Linked DNA regions of Caenorhabditis elegans. The protein of the gene in region 4 purifies or fractionates together with the protein of the main gene of each other region. This does not show direct contact. Each region holds a gene or a part of one and is shown on either strand. Other genes may lie near its edges.

Evidence for each region.
Region 1: the proteins of paqr-2 (region 4) and Y48A6B.3 purify together in Caenorhabditis elegans (affinity purification with mass spectrometry, with the first as the bait; one large-scale study listed by BioGRID). This does not show direct contact.
Region 2: the proteins of paqr-2 (region 4) and aldo-1 purify together in Caenorhabditis elegans (affinity purification with mass spectrometry, with the first as the bait; one large-scale study listed by BioGRID). This does not show direct contact.
Region 3: the proteins of paqr-2 (region 4) and dbt-1 purify together in Caenorhabditis elegans (affinity purification with mass spectrometry, with the first as the bait; one large-scale study listed by BioGRID). This does not show direct contact.

The regions. Positions count from the first base shown.
Region 1 is NC_003281.10:11,006,256-11,009,466, reverse strand, and holds Y48A6B.3 (Putative H/ACA ribonucleoprotein complex subunit 2-like protein), read right to left. Parts: upstream 1,246-3,211; 5' UTR 1,237-1,245; coding exon 1,123-1,236; intron 1,073-1,122; coding exon 913-1,072; intron 868-912; coding exon 650-867; 3' UTR 538-649; downstream 1-537. Other genes in the region: exos-1 (Exosome complex component CSL4 homolog), read right to left, coding at 1-50, 98-216, 273-416; fipr-17 (FIP (Fungus-Induced Protein) Related), read left to right, coding at 1,865-2,008. UniProt on the Caenorhabditis elegans protein: Required for ribosome biogenesis. Part of a complex which catalyzes pseudouridylation of rRNA. This involves the isomerization of uridine such that the ribose is subsequently attached to C5, instead of the normal N1.
Region 2 is NC_003281.10:13,562,793-13,566,833, reverse strand, and holds aldo-1 (Fructose-bisphosphate aldolase 1), read left to right. Parts: upstream 1-1,896; 5' UTR 1,897-1,914; coding exon 1,915-2,008; intron 2,009-2,108; coding exon 2,109-2,584; intron 2,585-2,823; coding exon 2,824-3,351; 3' UTR 3,352-3,488; downstream 3,489-4,041. Other genes in the region: T05D4.2 (F-box associated domain-containing protein), read left to right, coding at 3,798-3,898. UniProt on the Caenorhabditis elegans protein: May be involved in the metabolism of fructose-bisphosphate (beta-D-fructose 1,6-bisphosphate) and of fructose 1-phosphate.
Region 3 is NC_003280.10:7,942,088-7,946,903, forward strand, and holds dbt-1 (Lipoamide acyltransferase component of branched-chain alpha-keto acid dehydrogenase complex, mitochondrial), read right to left. Parts: upstream 3,120-4,816; 5' UTR 3,089-3,119; coding exon 3,016-3,088; intron 2,970-3,015; coding exon 2,894-2,969; intron 2,813-2,893; coding exon 2,702-2,812; intron 2,394-2,701; coding exon 2,311-2,393; intron 2,074-2,310; coding exon 1,852-2,073; intron 1,802-1,851; coding exon 1,737-1,801; intron 1,692-1,736; coding exon 1,407-1,691; intron 1,328-1,406; coding exon 1,136-1,327; intron 1,087-1,135; coding exon 985-1,086; intron 929-984; coding exon 791-928; 3' UTR 515-790; downstream 1-514. Other genes in the region: GILT-like protein ZK669.3, read left to right, coding at 222-312, 356-478; ZK669.5 (GTP-binding protein Rhes), read right to left, coding at 3,572-3,707, 3,891-3,986, 4,034-4,194, 4,245-4,427, 4,727-4,789. UniProt on the Caenorhabditis elegans protein: The branched-chain alpha-keto dehydrogenase complex catalyzes the overall conversion of alpha-keto acids to acyl-CoA and CO(2).
Region 4 is NC_003281.10:5,375,150-5,381,749, forward strand, and holds paqr-2 (Adiponectin receptor protein), read right to left. Parts: upstream 4,781-6,600; 5' UTR 4,771-4,780; coding exon 4,687-4,770; intron 4,610-4,686; coding exon 4,520-4,609; intron 3,988-4,519; coding exon 3,884-3,987; intron 3,836-3,883; coding exon 3,696-3,835; intron 3,014-3,695; coding exon 2,646-3,013; intron 2,238-2,645; coding exon 1,503-2,237; intron 1,290-1,502; coding exon 1,065-1,289; 3' UTR 1,064-1,064; intron 1,016-1,063; 3' UTR 550-1,015; downstream 1-549. Other genes in the region: Y32H12A.6 (Flavodoxin-like domain-containing protein), read right to left, coding at 5,891-6,066, 6,112-6,577.

The DNA.
Region 1 (3,211 bases), 5.6 Mb from region 4:
GCTTCTTGTAAACCTTATCGCCGATACTGATGATGTCACATTTGGCGAATCTGCAATATTTTCTGTCGGTTTTCAGAGCAACGAAAAGCTGCTCTACCGTAATCCGACAGCCATCACTTTGGCGGTGACGATGGCTCCGTGGAATGGGAGAAGCTCATTGTCGAGCTGATCTTCGCTGCGGCGAACTTCGATCACTTGCACCAGGTTGTCGGATTTCTGCAGAAAAAACGGAAATTTTCGGGCTCCACGCTTGCGATTTGTGCGAAAATTACATCTCTGAATCCATAAACGTTGACAAAACCGGCTACCGACGCGAAGATCCTTCGATTCGCCTCGTATAATCCCTTCCCCATTCGATATTCACCAATCGCGTCGAGAACCTTGTCGCCGGGCGCCACAAGCGTTTCGGCGAGCATTTTCTGAGCTGAAAGTGGTTTAGAACGGGATTTGCTGTGATTTAGATTGATTTCGAGTAACAAAATTGAGTTTTGGAAATTACCGAGAAAGGATTAAAGAATAAAAAGAAAAAGTCTGTAGATAACAACAATTTAATGAGTGAACAATTGTGGATAAAGATGGTGATACAGATCAAGAAATTTTAAAAAATCAACAACAAAAAAAAAACAGTGAAAACCAGAGAAAAAACAATTTAGGCGGCCTCGACGGTGAGATGACGGAGAGCCTCGGCGACCTCGTCGTACAGCTCCTTGAAGTCCCCACTCGGCTTGACGAAGATCAGAATCGACGGGCGACGATGTCCGACGGCGAGTCCGAGCTGCTCACGAGATGGAATGTAGACGTATGGGATCTCCTTCTCCTCGCAGATTCCCGGAATATGTGAGTACACATCGATTGGAGAGACGTTTCCTGAAAAATTGAACGTTTTAAGGGAAAAATAGATTAAAATCCTACCAGCAAGAATGCAGATTCCCTTCTCGTTTCTGCGGAGCTCCTTCTGCACGTCCTTGATGCCCTCACGGAGGGTTTTATCGCCGGCGGAGGCCTTCTTGATGAGCTTGTACACCTTCTTGGCCAACTTGCGGTTTGCTAGTGGCTGAGCGATTGGGTTTACCTGAAAATAAGACATTTTTCATTAAAAAACCAGCGAAATTAATGATTTACCAGCTCGCAAAGTGCCTGGTACTCGTCCTTCTCGGTGGTTGGTGCGGTGGCGTCTCCATTGGCTTCTGATACGGTCGACTCGTTCATTGTCTCGTCCAGATTGCGCTTGCCCATTTTTTGATTCTGAAAATTCATAAGTTAATCGTGTAAATTAGCCGCAAAGTTCAATTAGCTTTAGGAAAAGAAAAACAATGAAAATGGGATTTTTGCAACAAAAAATCGATAAAAATCCTATTATGGGTGATTACATAGGAATTTTACGATATTTCATGGCTTAAAATTGATAAATATTATATTTCCGAATTTTAAAATTTAATTTTATCGAAAAAAATCGGAGAAAACCCGCAGAAAACTTCGAAAAATACAATAATTATGTGAAAATGCGTCAAAAGAGAAAAAAGAGAAATCGAATCGAAATGTGCAGTGGAGCGCGTTCGCCCACATCCCAGAGAGTGGAGACGCAGACAATTCGTTGGCGGGAATTCAAATTAGAGATTTTCAGGGAAATTCGTTTTGTTGAATTTTCAACTGTTCCTGACTCCGATTTTTGCAAGTTTTGCAGCCTCTCCGCTTCCCCGAAACGCTCAAACTTCAATTTTTACGAGTTATCATCAAAATCGCAACTAAAATATAACAATTTTATGTCCCCGAACCCCCCACCCGCCCCCTACACGGTACTATAAAAGCCAACTTCTTCCAGAATTCAAGCATCAGAAGCATCTTCTTCTTCTTCATCATCATCATGAACGTCTACTCTGTCTGCGTCTTCGCCATCTTGGCTATTTCTTCAGTTTCTGGAATCTTCTTGCCACAAGGAGGAAAGAAGTGCGGAGGAAGCAGTGGATACGGAAGCGGAGTCATCATCGGTGCACCACGTCCACAATAATTTTTGTGCAGTTTCTGTTGATTACTGATAAATATTGAACATTCAAACTCTGTTTTTTGGGCTTATAATCTTGTTAATCGCGCCGCAGGCCTTTCAGTTTTTAGGGCTTAGGCTTAGGCTTAGACTGAGGCTTAGGCCTAGGCTAATTCCTAGGCTTAGGCTTAGATGGAAAATCTATGACCTAATAAAATGGGACTTTGAAGTAGAAAGTTTGAAAAAAAAAAATCCCAAATTGGAGTTAATCTACGGGACTCTAAAGAAGTGCGAGACAAAATTAAAAAATTTCAAATTTATTTTTCTAGTCCAAAATGCTCCTACATATTGAGCAGTTTTCTGTTAGGTAGTTGAGGCTAGGTAGGCAGGCACGGTTTCAGGGCCTCACGAGAGGCAGGCGGAGGCCGCCTTAAGGTCAGGCAGGCAGGCGTTTTGGAACCCCTAACATTAACAATTCGACTTGCGTTGTATGATTTGAGTGTATTTGCAAACTTATATTTTCCGTGCAAATGATCACAAGGTTTTTAAGCATCGAAGCATACATCTTTGATGCTCCCGCTCCCGGAACTAACTTTATCGATGTGGGTGGAATAAAAGCCTTCCGATCACAAACCTTTTCCTCACTTCGGTTCTTCAAATGAACATTTATTGCGTTTTAGTGTTTGCTGTACTCTCCATCTTGTCGGTTGTTGGAAAACCTCGAGCTAACCATATTCGACCTGCCTCAGACCGACATATCATCATGGGATTCGACCTACCATCCAAGTTTGGATAATTCAAACTGAAGCAATTAATTTATGAATAAAAGTTGAACATTGTCTTGAAAATCTTGTTATGAAATTTGGGATAATCTGGTAATTTAGAACCATATGATTTTCCAGCACTTTTGAATTTTTGAAAAATACAGCTTTTATATATTTCTATCAATTTTTTAAAATACTTGCGGACAAGCTAGTATACTTTTTTTGGTATTTTCTGGTATATTTGGCAATGCTAAACAGTTTTATAAAATAAAAAAGAAGCGCTTCATATGATTTTATAGTACTTTTGAATTTTTGAAAAATACAGCATTTACATTGACATACCAAAAAATAGATTGACATACCAAAAAATAGATTGACATACCAAAAAATAGATTGACATACCAAAAAATAGATTGGCATACCAAAAAATAGATTGGCATACCAAAAAATAGATTGGCATACCAAA
Region 2 (4,041 bases), 8.2 Mb from region 4:
TTAGACAAAGAACAACTGTCAACTATGGGTCAACATTTGACAGACATGAGCATTTCACGTGGGAAATGGCCAGATAGAGCATTACCTAGAGAAAATACTTTTTTCTATGTTCGTCTTACACTTCTCATCTATCTATATACAGGAAGAGCTTTTCGATAATCGAGTTTTTCAAAACAGTTTGTTGCTTTTTTTTTGGAATTGCTTAAATTTTCAGCTAATTGAGAATACGCTTGGTTAAAATTTTAAAACTTTTTACATTCCAAAAGCTTCTAAAACTTGCCAGTAACAACTTTTTCTCAATTCCGAGCTACGGTTTTCCCGCATTTTTCAAACATCTTTTTTTTTTAAGTTCCCAATATTTTTTTTTCAAAGATTTTGACAAAAACCATTTTTTCCGGCAAATTGCCGAAATTGAAATTTCCGGATCCCCTCTGATTCAAACTCTGAAAATTAGAAGAATATATATGTTAGTCGTGATAAGATGTTGCTTTTATAGATTTTGCAAGGCATTCTACCTAAATTTCCAATGGTTAAGTTTTCTTTGTGCACATTCAAATTCTGGGTCCATGAAGAAAAAAAAACAATTTCATAACCCTTCTACGTTTTCTCTAAACTCTCACTATTCGCACAATTGCATCATGCCTCCTCCATATTGCCATCTCACGCAAAAAAGCACATAGCCATTCTCAAAATATCTTTTTCACATCACGTCGTTTTCTATTCGCTGTCTTTTTTGTTGTACCCATGTTATAGTTTTGACATAGAAGCTCATTTTATTTACAAAAATGAATACATAGATGTATTGCTTGTTTTACATAAGATCCTCTTCTTGTTTTTTTTTGTCATGATTTGTCGTAGATTTTGAATTGTTTTATTAGTACGTGCCTCGCATGTTCTCGTACTTATAGTAGCCTTATAGGTCTTACGAGAATGCCCAGGGAATAAACAGAGCAGGGGTATACGGCAAATTTGCCAAATTTGCCGTTTGCTGAGCTCGGTAACTTTGCTGAATTTGCCGAGCAAGACAAATTTCAAAAAAGTAGATTTGTTAAATTTTCCGAGCTCTGCAAATTTCGATATTTGCCGCACATGCCAAAGTTTTGACATTACAACTTTGACCAAAACCATTGGTTTTGTCCCCAAAAATTGAGTAAAATGACACAAAATTGAGTTATTTTGATAATTAATACAGAGCGAGTTACGGAATATGGCAAACGAAAATGCAGTTTACTCTAGTTTTTTTTTAAATATAACTATGTGGTCTAAACCCTATAATATTGGAAAACTAGGTAAATTGTGTTTTTATCGTAGGGGCAAGTTGGCTCATTTTCGAATTAAAAAAAAAAAACAAAATGTGCCAAGTAGGGTCGATTCCTCTGAAAAACGATTGCATCATTCCAAATTTCGTAATCTCTTTTACATTATTTCAATTTCAGACTACTCCAATGAGTCCTAAACTAGGCTCGAGCTCATAGCCCGGCTGCTCTAAGTACGCCAGAGGCATATGTCTGAAAAGCAATTTCAACTTTCATATCTTCATATCTCCGCACGCTTCCGTGAACCAAATCAAATCAAATCCTCCAACGTTGAAAAGTTCAAGACTTTGGCAATTCCTGCTCCTCTCGCTTCTTCAAACTATTTCTCACGTTCTGCTCCAACAGCAGTTCTTCTTCTTTTACTTCTCACAAAATTTCGTGCAAATCACGTAGGGCCCCTCAATTCCCTCTCGCCACTCTGCACGGCTTCTCACACACTCTTGCTCTCTCGCCAGGGGCTCTCCGTCTCCCTTCTCGGCGGTGCCATCGATTCGTTTGGCGCGAGAGAGAAAGCTCCGGCTCTTTTCACTTTTATCAGCGGCCCTTGTTTTTCACCGACTTCACTCTTGCACATTTTCAGGCAACTTCATTTTCTAAAATGGCTTCTTACTCGCAATTCTTGACCAAGGCCCAGGAGGACGAACTCCGCTCCATCGCCAACGCCATCGTCACCCCAGGAAAGGGAATTCTCGGTAAGTAACGATATTAAATTTGGGAAACAAAATTTGGCATTTTGTGTGTTACAAATCTAATCTCTAATCTCTCCAATCTCCCTGAAATTCGAATTTGCAGCCGCCGATGAGTCCACCGGATCCATGGACAAGCGTCTTAACAGCATCGGACTCGAGAACACCGAGGAGAACCGCCGCAAGTATCGTCAACTTCTGTTTACCGCCGGAGCCGACCTCAACAAGTACATCTCGGGAGTCATCATGTTCCACGAGACATTCTACCAAAAGACCGACGACGGAAAGCCATTCACTGCTCTTCTCCAGGAGCAAGGAATCATTCCAGGAATCAAGGTTGACAAGGGTGTCGTCCCAATGGCCGGAACCATCGGAGAGGGAACCACTCAGGGATTGGATGACTTGAATGCTCGTTGCGCTCAATACAAGAAAGACGGAGCACAGTTCGCCAAGTGGAGATGCGTGCACAAGATCTCATCTACGACTCCATCAGTGACTGCTCTTAAGGAAATTGCCTCCAACTTGGCTCGCTATGCTTCAATTTGCCAACAAAATGGACTTGTACCAATTGTTGAGCCAGAGGTAATTACCGAGAGTCGAGAGCCGAGAGTCGCACAGCACTGGTACCTACCCACCTAAGTTCCTTTTGGGGGGATGTAGTCGTAGATCGGCTTGAATGTAATACTTAGAACGGTTTTCACAGAAAATTTTAATATTCGATGCAAAACCCAAGTTAATGCCACGTCCGTTACTTGGGTCTCGCAGCAGTTTTTTTTTTGTAAAAAAAATATAATTGGCACTCTAATTAGTTATCATTTCAGATCCTCCCAGACGGTGAACACTGCTTGGCTCGCGGACAGAAGATCACCGAGACCGTGCTCTCATATGTGTACCACGCTCTCAACGAGCATCACGTCTTCCTCGAGGGAACCCTCCTCAAGCCAAACATGGTCACCTCCGGACAATCATTCACCGGCGAGAAGCCATCGAATGCCGATATCGGACTCGCCACCGTCACCGCCCTCCAACGCGGAGTCCCATCCGCCGTTCCAGGAGTCGTCTTCCTCTCCGGTGGACAATCCGAAGAGGATGCCACATTGAACTTGAACGCCATCAATCAAGTGAGCGGAAAGAAGCCATGGGCCCTCACATTCTCCTATGGACGTGCTCTTCAAGCCTCCTGTCTCGCCAAGTGGGCCGGAAAGGACGAGAACATCGCAGCCGCCCAAGAAGTCCTGCTCCATCGTGCTCAGGTCAACTCCCTTGCCTCTGTCGGAAAATACACCGGGGATGCTTCAGCTGACGCAGCCGCTTCCCAATCCCTCTTCGTCGCCAATCATTCTTATTAAATGGCCACGCTCAGGATCTCTTTTTTCTCATTTTTTAAAACTATTCAACGCACGTAGAATTATGTGTCTGTATACCCCTTTAATTGTCATTATTTGCTTCTCTAAGTCTCTTCGGATTTAATAAATCTTTGGTAGATACGAATGCACAATTAAAGAGAGATGTATCTTTGGAACATTTGATTCAAGCAGACAGACAATTGAGCGATGGCTCGTCGCGATGCATTCATAGTGATGACGTCAAGATGTCTTCTACTACTCACTATTCCTTGTAGGTTTATGTGTCTGCTCAATTGTTGAGAACAGAAGGTGCCTAGTGTAAGTGCGAGAGAACAATTTCCCAGTGGAGCCGTTTAACCTTGGGCAGGTGCGATGCACATTTTCAGATCGATATCTAACCAGTTGCACACTATTCGCAACGCATTACAGCCATTCATTTGTCCATTGCAATGTACTACCGCGAAGTGAGAGGATCTGAGATCTTCTATACCAAGTACTATGGTCCGCCAACTGAAAAGGATACCTTGGCTGCCAAGAACCCTTTTGAAATGTAAGTGTTTTTAAAACTAAATTTTCTAAATTTCCAATAGTAAATGTGTTACACCCTGTCGTTGGATTGTTTTTGTTTTCCAAGTTGTTTGATCTTCAGAAATCGACTAACCGAGATTTTTAAAAGTCAAACGAATAAATCAA
Region 3 (4,816 bases), on a different chromosome or scaffold from region 4:
TAATATTCTATCAATAAATAAATAATTGACCTTAATTCATTCCGAAAATCGAGCCCGTAAATCGGCACAAGCGCTACAGTAGCCATTTAAAGAATTACTGTAGTTACTGTGGTTTTCGCTACGAGATATTTTGCGCGTCAAATATGTTGCACAATACGCGTTCTCAGAATTCAGTTTTCTCGTAATATGTTTCCTCTATTAAGTTCATTTGATTTTTTCAGAATGATGGAATGTGCCGAAAGTCGTCATGGCCGAAAACTATTCAGCGATCAAGAAAATATTGTTGCTCAAATGGCACCAGAGATGGATTGGGTATCTTTAAAATGTATTGTAATTTGTAATAATTGAAATTCAGGCTCCATGGATTTTAATCAATGGAACTCGATACAAAGAAGCCGAGGAAGATTTGTGGCAATTCCTTTGTGATCGATTCATCGATCCTCGACCAATTCATTGTCCAAAGAAAATCGTATACTAGACATTGAAAGTGCTTGTAAATAAAGATGTTTTCCAATTATCACGGGAATCTTTTCATTCTACACGAACATGATTATTTGATATCTGCATCCTACATCAAACAAGTAAATGGCACAAGAAAAAAGAAAAAAAAAGCAGGCTAATAATCGAGTAAGAAATGGATTGAAAAATGCAATCGTTATCTAAAATATGCTCTAAAAACAGGAGGCACCTTCAAGAAAAAAAACAGGTTTAGAGTGTTGAAAACGGGGGAATGTCTACATCAAGGGATAATTGGGCACCTAATAAAATTAACCAGATGAAACATGATACTTTACTTAAGTTGGGCGAGCATTGCAGATGGGTGTTCGAGGTAGAACTTCCAGCGATTGCTGAAGCGAGCCATTGTAGCTCCGTCCACAACTCGGTGATCTGCGCACCACGAAACTTTCATGATGTTCACAGGGATGACCTAAATAAATATTTGTTATCAACACGTCTCACAAATTTTGAAAAATATTTTCTTACATTGTCATGTTTATCGAATCGTGGGAGTTTTTCGATTTTTCCAATTGCTCCAATAGCCACTTGTGGTGGGAAGACAACTGGAGAGGCGTAGGTTCCACCGATCTTTAATTTTTTTTTACTAATATTAAGTAATTGAAAAAAGAAAACTTACATTTCCAATATTGCTCAATGAGAAAGTTCCATCAATCAAATCTTCTCTCTTAATTTGCTGTTTCTTTCCAGCCTCCAGAAGACGATTGAGCTCTTGAGCAATTTCAAAGATACTTCTTTGCTCACAGTTTTTGATATTCGGTACAACAAGCCCTCCTGGTGTGTCCATGGCGAGACAAATATTGTGAGAAGCCTGAAATTATTTTTCAAAATAGACAAATTCGAAGATTAATTATTTTTTAAAAGTAAACGTGTGAATTTCATCAGTATACCTTATGTATAACATTTTCCATTTTCTCATCAGTTGTAGAATTCAAAGATGGGTATTCGAGAAGAGCTAAAGAAGCAGCTTTGATGAAGAATGGCATGTAGCTCAATTTGATATGACGCTCTTTCGCGAATTCTTTCAGTTCAGCACGATATTTGACCAGAGAATCTACATTAATCTCATCGTTGTACCCAAAGTGTGGAATTTTGAGAGCTTCAGTCATCGTTTTGACCATCGCTCGAGTGTATCCACGAATCGGAACAGCAACATCTTCTTTGAGAGGTTCATACTAAAATAGTTGATTTGTAATTGAAACCACTTTAAAAAAATTTACCGATTTCGAAGATGGTTGTGGAGCTTGATGGGTAGTACGAATATTTGTAGATCCAGAGGTATGGTCTATAAATAAATAACATTAAAAGTTTCAAAAAGTTCTTCGTAAAAATTACCAGCCGGCACTTGTCCCAGGAACTTGAGAACGTCTTCTTTGAGAACTCTTCCGTCTTTTCCAGTTCCGCGAACTTCAGCTAGCTTGATCTTGTTTTCAATGGCAATTCTACGAACTGCTGGTGTGGCAAGAACTTTTCCTTCTGAATGAGCAGATTCTGGAGCTTTTGGCGCTGACGACTTCGGAGCTTCTGGCGATGATGAAGCAGCTTCCTTCTTCGGTTCTGAAAAAAAAACACTAGTAGAAAACAAAACACAATTTTAATTAGAAACAGAGAAGTCAGACTTCCCCTTGGGAAATCAAGTAAAATGCATTTTGTTCAGTTCTTGAAGTAGATTAAATTTCGAATCACAGATAAAATTGGCAATTATAGCTGATAGCATTTTCAAAGAAAAACTATTGCGAGATTATAACTGATAGGGAATTTCGATAAGAACATTAGAACGCATAAAAAACATACGTTCGGGTTCTTCCACGTTTCCCTCTATCTCAACATCAATGAGAGCCTGTCCAACTCGAGCCATTCCATCAACCTCATGATATCTGTAAACTTTTCTGCATTTTCAGATAAAAATGACATTTCAAGGAAAAACAGGAAAAAATTTCTTTTCAGTAATTTTTGATTTTTTGATTGCATTTTCTCCGTCATCTCCACAAAAAGCTTTATCTCTCAGCTTCACTGGTGATCAGTGATATTGTGATTGTCAATCAAGAACAGAGAAGAGACGCAGAGTAACCTGTGCAAACCGAGACGCCACGTGCCTTGTTACTTTTTACAATGTATATTAAAAAGAATTGAAACGACCAGATAGCAGGGAAACTGAAATTTTCGAATTTAGGAAGAAACTTACAATTTTTTGACAATCCCGTCGTATCTACAGGAGATGGTTACTGCTGCTTTATCACTTTGCACTTCACAGACTTTATCGAACTGCGAAATCGTATCTCCTTCTTTCACGTACCTGGAAGTTTAAAACAGTTTTGTGGAAAAATTATAAAATTCACTGGCTTTCATGCGAAACTACATCTACAGTATGACTTACCATTCCTTAACCTGAACTTCGGCAATTCCTTCTCCAATATCCGATAATTTGAATTGAACAACCGGCATAAAAGCGACTGAAACTTCGAAAATATTATATTAAAATAGATTTTTTAAACCAACCTTTAGATGTGTGAAGATGCTTATTTAATTTAAAAATTCTAGACGACGTTCCCAGGAGTCGTGCGGCCATCATTTTCGTCGGTTATTCTTACCAGTTTCTTCTTCTACAATTTTTGCGTTTACGAAATTAAAATTTATGAGAAATGACTGAGGAAAATAAAAAGGAAAATAAAAAAAAGGAAAATCCGTGGAAGCTGTGAGAAAATGAATAAAATGACAACAACGCGTCAAGGACGCATGCTGGCGCAAAGTGTCTTTGCGCATTTCTCGTGTAAACTGGCGGTTTTTCAAATTCGAATTCCAAGAAATCGCACTCTATCACGTTATGGTGCATCATGGTGCATTTTATGAAACTGTTTATTTAATTCAGAATTTCGGAAAAGCATATATATTTTTTCAGAAATTCAAAAGGTTTATTTCGTGATTTCATAAAAGAGAAAATAAAAAGAGATCAAAACCGTAACGCCCAATTTGTTTCAAAAAATTAATACCTCAAGAAACTGTGATTTTTCGTAGTTCAATAGAAAAAACAAAATATCTAAACTCAAAAACAATACTACATCAGTGTGCATTTATCTTTTTTAAGTGCGGGAGCCGAAGTTGTTGTCGCCGTGGGAACCGGTTCAACCCAAGCTTCAACTGTAGTAGATGGTGGTGACGTTGATGTAGAATTTACAGACGAAGACTGTTTTCTGAAACGCTGAAAAAATGTTGAAGGAATTATTCAGTTTATATAGTATTCAGAATTTTAGAATTTTAGAAATTTTCATTACAGATTGGATAATTGGAGAAGGTCTGAAAACTGTCAAATGAAAATATAGCTATTTAAGAGAAGAACGTTTAAATAAATAATTTGAAAAGTAATAGAGTCAAACCTCTCATTCGCGTTTAAATCTTTCTTCTGTCGTGTCAATTTCTCGATGAGGTAGGCAAATGGATGCATAACATTGAATTCTTTCAGTGCTGACACTCTGAAATTATTTTTTTATAATTTTTTTATTAAAAATCATCTGCAAACCTATAAAGTCTCTTATGTTTTTTCCTCATTTCTCCTTCAACTAATCCTTTATCCATTTGACTATCTTCCACAATATCTATTTTATTTTCTATGAACACAAGGGGAATTCTCTCTGTCGATTTTTGAATTTCATTGTATAATTCTAAAGTGTATTCGAAACTCTGAAATTATTTATTTATTTGATTTGCCAGCTTCAATCGAAATAACTCACATATACATCAGTTGTAGAAAAAACAAGAGCAATTGCATCGTGCTCTTTTGACATTCCTTCTTCCCATTTTTGTGAAACAGTTGCTTCAATTAAAACCTTCTCATCATCAACAGTAAGAGAAGTCCAAATACTTTCATTATCTCCTTCTGTGCAAAATGATCGGAGCAACGTCTTTTTACCAACCTGAATACATTTTTTTTTTCATTAAATGATTCTTAGAGTTACAGCCGTTGAAGAACAATTTTTAACATCAAAACTCAATTTTATCCACTCTGTGAGCTTAATGGGAAATTTTAAGTAGCCCTACTCATACTTTTTGAATAAAAATAAATATTTTGACTGCCACTACTCAAAATATGATACATTTTTTTAGAAACCTTTGTCAGAAAAATTCTAATAGAGAGTACATAACTAATTTAGTAAATTTAAAAACTAGAGACATTTAAATTTAAATTTTTAAAGATTTTAATTTAAAAAAATACCGATTTGCCTCCGAAAATAAGAAATTTGAAAACTCGATCATAAGAAGTTGGATCGGGAGCCATTCCTCTGAAAAACATAAGCTCATCCAT
Region 4 (6,600 bases):
CAAGTGTACGAAGAGAACGGAGACTCTGCGTGACACACAACTCTGGCACTGGAATAATTTTTTGGGGCTGAAAACAAAAAATTCTAAAATAAACAAACAAATCTGAAAATTTGTCTACTTTTGGTACCGTACTCCATTTAAAGGGACATTCTACTATAGTATGCGTGGGTCTCGCAGAGATACAATATTTAATCCCTATTTTCGTAGATGCGCCTTTCAAGTTACTGTACTCGAGATTGTTTAATAAAATTCCTTAAATTATCGACTTCAAACCAATTTCAGATTTCAGCACTTCCTGATCGCCTGAGAACATTGAAAAACCAAAAATCTGATCAAATTTCAAGTAAAATGAAGAAAAAGGGTGATTTTGCTAGATTTTCACCTGCATGGTGTGGAACTACGAGTTTTTTCTGTAGAAAACTGATGAGAAATTGCAAGATATGTGATTTCGTGAATGTTTCGCTAAAACTCTTAAATTTCCGCTATTTTACAGACACTAGCGCTTGGTAATTATGCCGACTTCATGAATTGTTCGAAAAATCACAAAAAAAAATCGAAAATTTTATTTTAAATCGCCTAGACGACTACACTCACACGAAAATAGAATAATGGGCTACACAGTAAAATGAAATTCATAAAATACGAAAAAGAAAAAAAAAACAAAGCTCGAAAAGTTCAATGTTAAAGTTTAAAAAAACCAAATCTGGTTCCGAGAAAATGAAGGAGAACGCGAAAACAAGAAAAGAATAATAAGAAAACTAATTTCAATGGAAGAAAACGGAACGAAAAGGGGGAATAAAATGAAAAAAGGAGTGTATAGAATTTATCACATTGGAATTTTAGCTGAGAATGTTTCGACAGATAGTTGAGGAGCGTGGGGAAGGGGAACCAGGTAATTTGAAAGAAAATGGAAAAAAAAATGGTGAAAATGAGCAGAAAAAGGATAGTATGAAGAGGGTTGTAGCAGCTTCAAGAAGAGCATATATACGCAACTATACATATTGTGCAGAGGTTTCTGAAAATTATAAATTTTTTAAAAATAAAAAATTGGAAACAAATCTACCTCATAAACCAACATCCGCCGGTGTCCAGTCTCTGACATTGAGTGGCTCGTCGAGCCCAAGCAAAGTGCCAACGAAGGAAGGATTCAACTCGTTACCGTAACGAGTTTTCAGTTGATCCGGGCAGGATCCTTTCATGAGCTTATGCATTCCCATTTGGGAGATCGCGTGATAATGAACAAAAGCGGCGAGCACGACAAATGTGTGAAAGAGTTGATGCGATTGGAACTGAAAAAATAAACGTTATTAGTTTTTTTTTGAGTAAAAAAGATTGTTTAGCTTTTATTTTTTGAGTCTTTTTCGTATTTTCGTAAATTTTCTTTTGCAAAATGTGGTTTAAAATCTTTAAAGTTATGTTGTCTGGTTTTCCGGAAAACCGAGAATTGAAAATATATATTTTTATATTTTTCTCCAATTGCTAGTTTTTTTGAAACCACATACCCAAATATCGCACTTTCCAGGGAAACATCTCTCAGGTACACGTGTCGCATAGAGTGTTGCACCACCAATATACATGGCTCCCATCATAATCATCAAATGAACTTGTGACTCCTCAACCATATAATGAACACCGTCAACTACAAGTAAATGAAATGCTGGGACCACAGCCGATAGGCCCATTGCTATGAAAACTGCTGCTCGTACAGGCCGGAATTTGGGCTCCGCGAATTTATCCCAAAGCGAGACGACCATTGCAGCGATTCCAAGTATAATAATCATTCCGTTGTATATTATCATTGGTTGAGGTCTACAGTAGAATGCAAAATAGATCCACGGAACAAATGATCCAACGATGAGTAAGGAAATCCCAGTGTAATCGAGTTTACTGAACAGTTTAGCCATTTCAATAGAATGGCATGCAACCGTATGAAAAAGGAATGACATTCCAAGACATATCACTGCACCGAGGAAAAACGCCGAGTAGATCAATTTCTCCACCCATTGCATTTGATCATGGGGACGAGTCAGAAACCATATTCCGATACCGAAGAACGCAACACATCCATACATATGAGTCCAAATGTTTCCTGTTTCAGTGTGCAATGCAAAAATACTCTTGAAGCAGCTACTGAACGATGGAAGTGGAGGACGATGTCCTGTACGGAGGTATTCGTTATCTTGAAGCCATTCGGGTAGAGTTTCGAAATTTGTTGCCTTCCAGCGGGCTTCCCAGAACTGAAAATAATTTTGTAATATTTTTTTTTTAACTTTAATCGTTTTTTTTAACCAAAAAATTATTCTTTAAGATTTCTCATAATTTCAAGTAATTGTCTTGCAAAAAATATGTAGAAACTTATCAAAAATGTATATTTTTGAAAATTTTCTTATCAATAGCTCACATGTGTGCAAAATTTTTTGGCTCCTAGTACAAAGAAAATTTTGAATGTAATCAGAAAACTTTTAATAGAAAGAAAAACCAAATCAAACATTTTCGGAGATTCGTGAATTTTCAAAACTTATTAGAAATGTTTTTCTCTACATAATTTGTTTAAAGCAAAATTGCCGCCAATTAACATTTATCGCTGCATTTTTTGCTTTTTTTTGTTGCAATTTTGCAATTATCTCACTGGAGTTTTCCCTCACCCTCTTGATAACAGCTCTTGGTCCTTCTCCAGTTTCGCTAGGAATAATAACTTCTTCTTCATTAATCTCAACTTCAAGCTCATCATCATCATCACTATGATCCAAATGAATCTCCGCATCATGTCCAGCAGTAACAAATCTCAAATGTTTTCCATCTTCGTGTCCCCGACGTTGTGGATGTAATTTGTATTTGACAATTCGTCGACGATGCTGATTTCCACCTTCTTCATGATTATCATGAATAACTGCAACTGTCATCTTTTCTCCTTTTGCATTCGGCATACTCCATGCTCGACGATGTCCTTTTTTGAATGGTAATGCGGCTGCTTTAGACGTTGATGGGACATCTCCATTGTCAATTTCGATTCCTATAGAAATCATTTAGTAATAGTGTAGTTTAGTGAAAGGAGGGAAGTATTTTTGAAAAAAACGAATGAGAACACTTCCTGTCACCTAAAATTAATTTGAGGTGACGGTCAACAAGTTTTTTTTTGGTTGGAAATTTAACTTTTAATTCACTAATTTATTAAACGAGAGATCGGTGTAAATGATGCGATTTTTGGTTTATTTCGTTACACTGTAAACAAATAGTAAAAAAAAATTTTTTTTTGAAAATGTTCTCATAAATTGCGCAAAACTCTTATTTTTTGTTTGGTTTTGCTTTAATATCAAAAGCTCAAAAGAAATATTTTGTTTTGTTTTTATTGAACATTTTTAAAAATCGATTTTTTTACATTTAAAAGCCTTTTTTTCTTGAACTCTAACCTTTATGGGAATTAAATTGGATAAATCGATAATTTTTGAAAAAATTGGTTTAGATTTTTATTTGGAACATCATAAATAATGTAAATGTGTGAATTTTTTAATTAGAAACATTTCTTCAAAAATTCCATTTTTATGGACGAATTTTAATACTTCTCAAGAAGAATTTGTGGGAATGAACTATGAAATGAATATCAAAAATCGGTTCAAATACAAAAAGCATGTTATGCGAAATATTAAAGTATTTTTCGCACTTTAAAAAAAAATCATTTTTTTCAATAACCTTACCTTCAAGCAAAGTTGGAAGCCTATTCTGCCTTGTCACATACATTGATTCGTCTCTTTGCTGACTTGCAGGCTGTTCAACAACCTTACTATGACGAACAATAATCTCAAATCGTTGACCATCTGATGGCTGACTATTCGGACTGAAACAATGTTTTTTTGGAAGAAAAAAAAATCTGATGATTATTTACAATTGAACATCGACTTGATCAACAATCACATTCTGATTCTCTTGTGTATCAGCCAACTGCAGCGGTCCGTCAGTGATAATATTTTCTGCCTCTCGGAGCACATCCTGCAATGCACTTTTCAATTTTTCAAAATTTGATTTCTGATCACCGTAAAAATAACATTTGTCATATGAGGGCAAGCAGTGATAAATATGAAAACACGAAGTGGCTGGCTGGAGCTTGAAGAATGATATTCTAGCTTTTTTAATATTAAATAAGAATTAGCGGTAACTGACCACTAAAAAAATAGGAAAAGGTTTCAGAAAAATTCTCACTATTTGTTTTTATTGGTTTGCAGGAAATTCAAAAATAATGCCGTTAATTTTTTTTTGTATATCTGAAAAAACCTAAACTTCAGAAACTTTAAAATTTTTATACAGCTACAGCTTTAAATACCGAGAAAAAATTTCAATTTTTTTTTGAAAATAGAAGATCTGAAATAGTGGAAAATTACCATTTCTTTGAAAACACTTTTTCTTCAAAAAAACATCTCCAAACAGTGAGAATTTCTTAAAACTTCTAGCTCCAGCCACCACTCACCGACAACAAAAATCAATAATCATATGCTAATCTCTTTCAACCCAACAAAAAACGTACAGTAACACTCCGCAATGGGCTTTGTAGATTACTGCTATTCCGATTTTCCATAATTAATTCATCATTGTCCAACACCATCACCATATCTCTCTGAAATGTAATAAATTAAAACTAAAAACTGTGTTTTTTTTCTTTTTTCATAGAATAGATCACGTGAAATAGATTACCTCGTCAAACGAATTTCGAACGCTTTTTTGCAAAAGTTTTTGCGATTCCGCCGGTGTTGCCGATTCCACGTCATCTTCCTCCATTTTGTTAAAGCTGAATTTTAGTTTTTAAAATTTTTTTCAACCGAGAATATAAGAAATTCCAGAAAAAAATCAAATAAAATCGGAACTGTGAGAGAATAAAGCGGATATTGATTAAAAAGCTTTTGCTCACACATACAAACCAAAAGCGCAAAGTTTTCTCCGTTTTCTCAAGAAAGCTTATGAGACAAGAGGGCGACTCGTGCTGCTGGAATGTGTGTTGGTGCGGGGAAGCGCATTTGCTGACCGGAGACTCAGAAGAGGTCAAAGTACTCCTGCATGAATTGGATCCAATGTAGTGAAATTATGACTTCCTTGTTTAAAATATGAGTTTCTGAAAAATTTGTTGAGTATTTTCAACGAGCTTTCAAGTTAAAACAGATTTTTTGTGTTTCCCGATGTAAAGCTCCAAGACGTGTTCGAAGAAATGGCGGAAAAATCGGCGGAAAAAAATTTGGGAAGTTACGCGAATTTTCCATGAAAAAAAGATTCGAAGGCAATTTTTCATATAATTTTTAAATAGTTTTCAATTTAAGTTATCGAAAATTGAGGATTTTAATGTTTTAAATGAAGAAAACACCTGAAAAACCACAAAACTTCGCTAAAAATTAACAAAAGATAAACGAAAAAGACACAATTGATATTCGTGATGAGACCCAAAGTGGAAGTGGTATGTGCCTTTAACAACTCGTTACGGTATTTTGCTTCTAAACTTTTTTTTGAGTTCTTTTACAAAAAGGTTTTCGTAGATTTCTAGTTTTCAGCACTGATCAAACTCATTCTAATTTTTTAATGCTTCGAAATATGCAAAAAAAAACTCCAATTATTTACAAGAAGCAACGGAAACAGCTAAACTTTAGAGCCCGTGCCGAGACCCGTCCTGGAAATGACATGCGCCTTTAAAACTACACTACGGTAATTTGGATCAATATTTACTTTCTCAAAAATTAATGTTTTCTTATTATTTTGGCAGTCACCAATATTCTTTAAAAAAAGCGAATTTATTTATGAAAAATGTTGAAAAAATAATACAAATATACAAAATATCTTTAAAATGCAGGAAAATTCAATTAAAGCTCGATATATAAACAATTATTAAAATATAAATATTTATATTCAAATTTTATTTCGACTTCTTATGTTTCTCTTCGACTTCATTATCATCCGAAGAGCTCTCAGATCTATCGTCTCCAACTTCCGATTCTTCGGTGTCTTCACCACTCATTCCAGGAAGATGCTTATCCATTTGCAAAAGGAGTTCGAACGAAAATTCCACAAATCGCTCCATAGTTTGCTTATCTGAAACTCAACATTTTAACAATAATCATTATTACGGTATGATACCAGTGTCAGTTGTATTGAAAAGTTCGACTTCAGTAATTTGCCTAGCTCCCAAGATTTTCATTCGTTTCAGCAAAGTTCTGGCGACTTTATTGAACCCAGCTGGCCCATCATCACTGCTTCCGAAGCCAACAATTGAAAATCTGATTTTCTCGAAATTCGCCTTCTTTCTAAGCTTCGAGTCCGCTGCGAGATCCTCAAGCCATTCCAAAAACCATTCTGTCGAGGGTGTCGGCTGACCACCAGCCGTAGTTTCAGAGATAAAAATACAAAATCCCTTGAAGGCCATTAACTCCTTCACATCCAAAGAGTCTGACCACCAAATCATCGGTTTTCGGACCATTTCATCACAAAGCTTGTCGTGAATCACCTTGGCCCACGGAGCTGCGAGCCCGTCTTCTTTTCCTAGAACTATTACGACGGCTTCTGATTCGGCAAGTTCCTCGGCAAGTCGTTCTTCTTCTTTTTTCTGAAAGAAATTGGAAGTCGTGG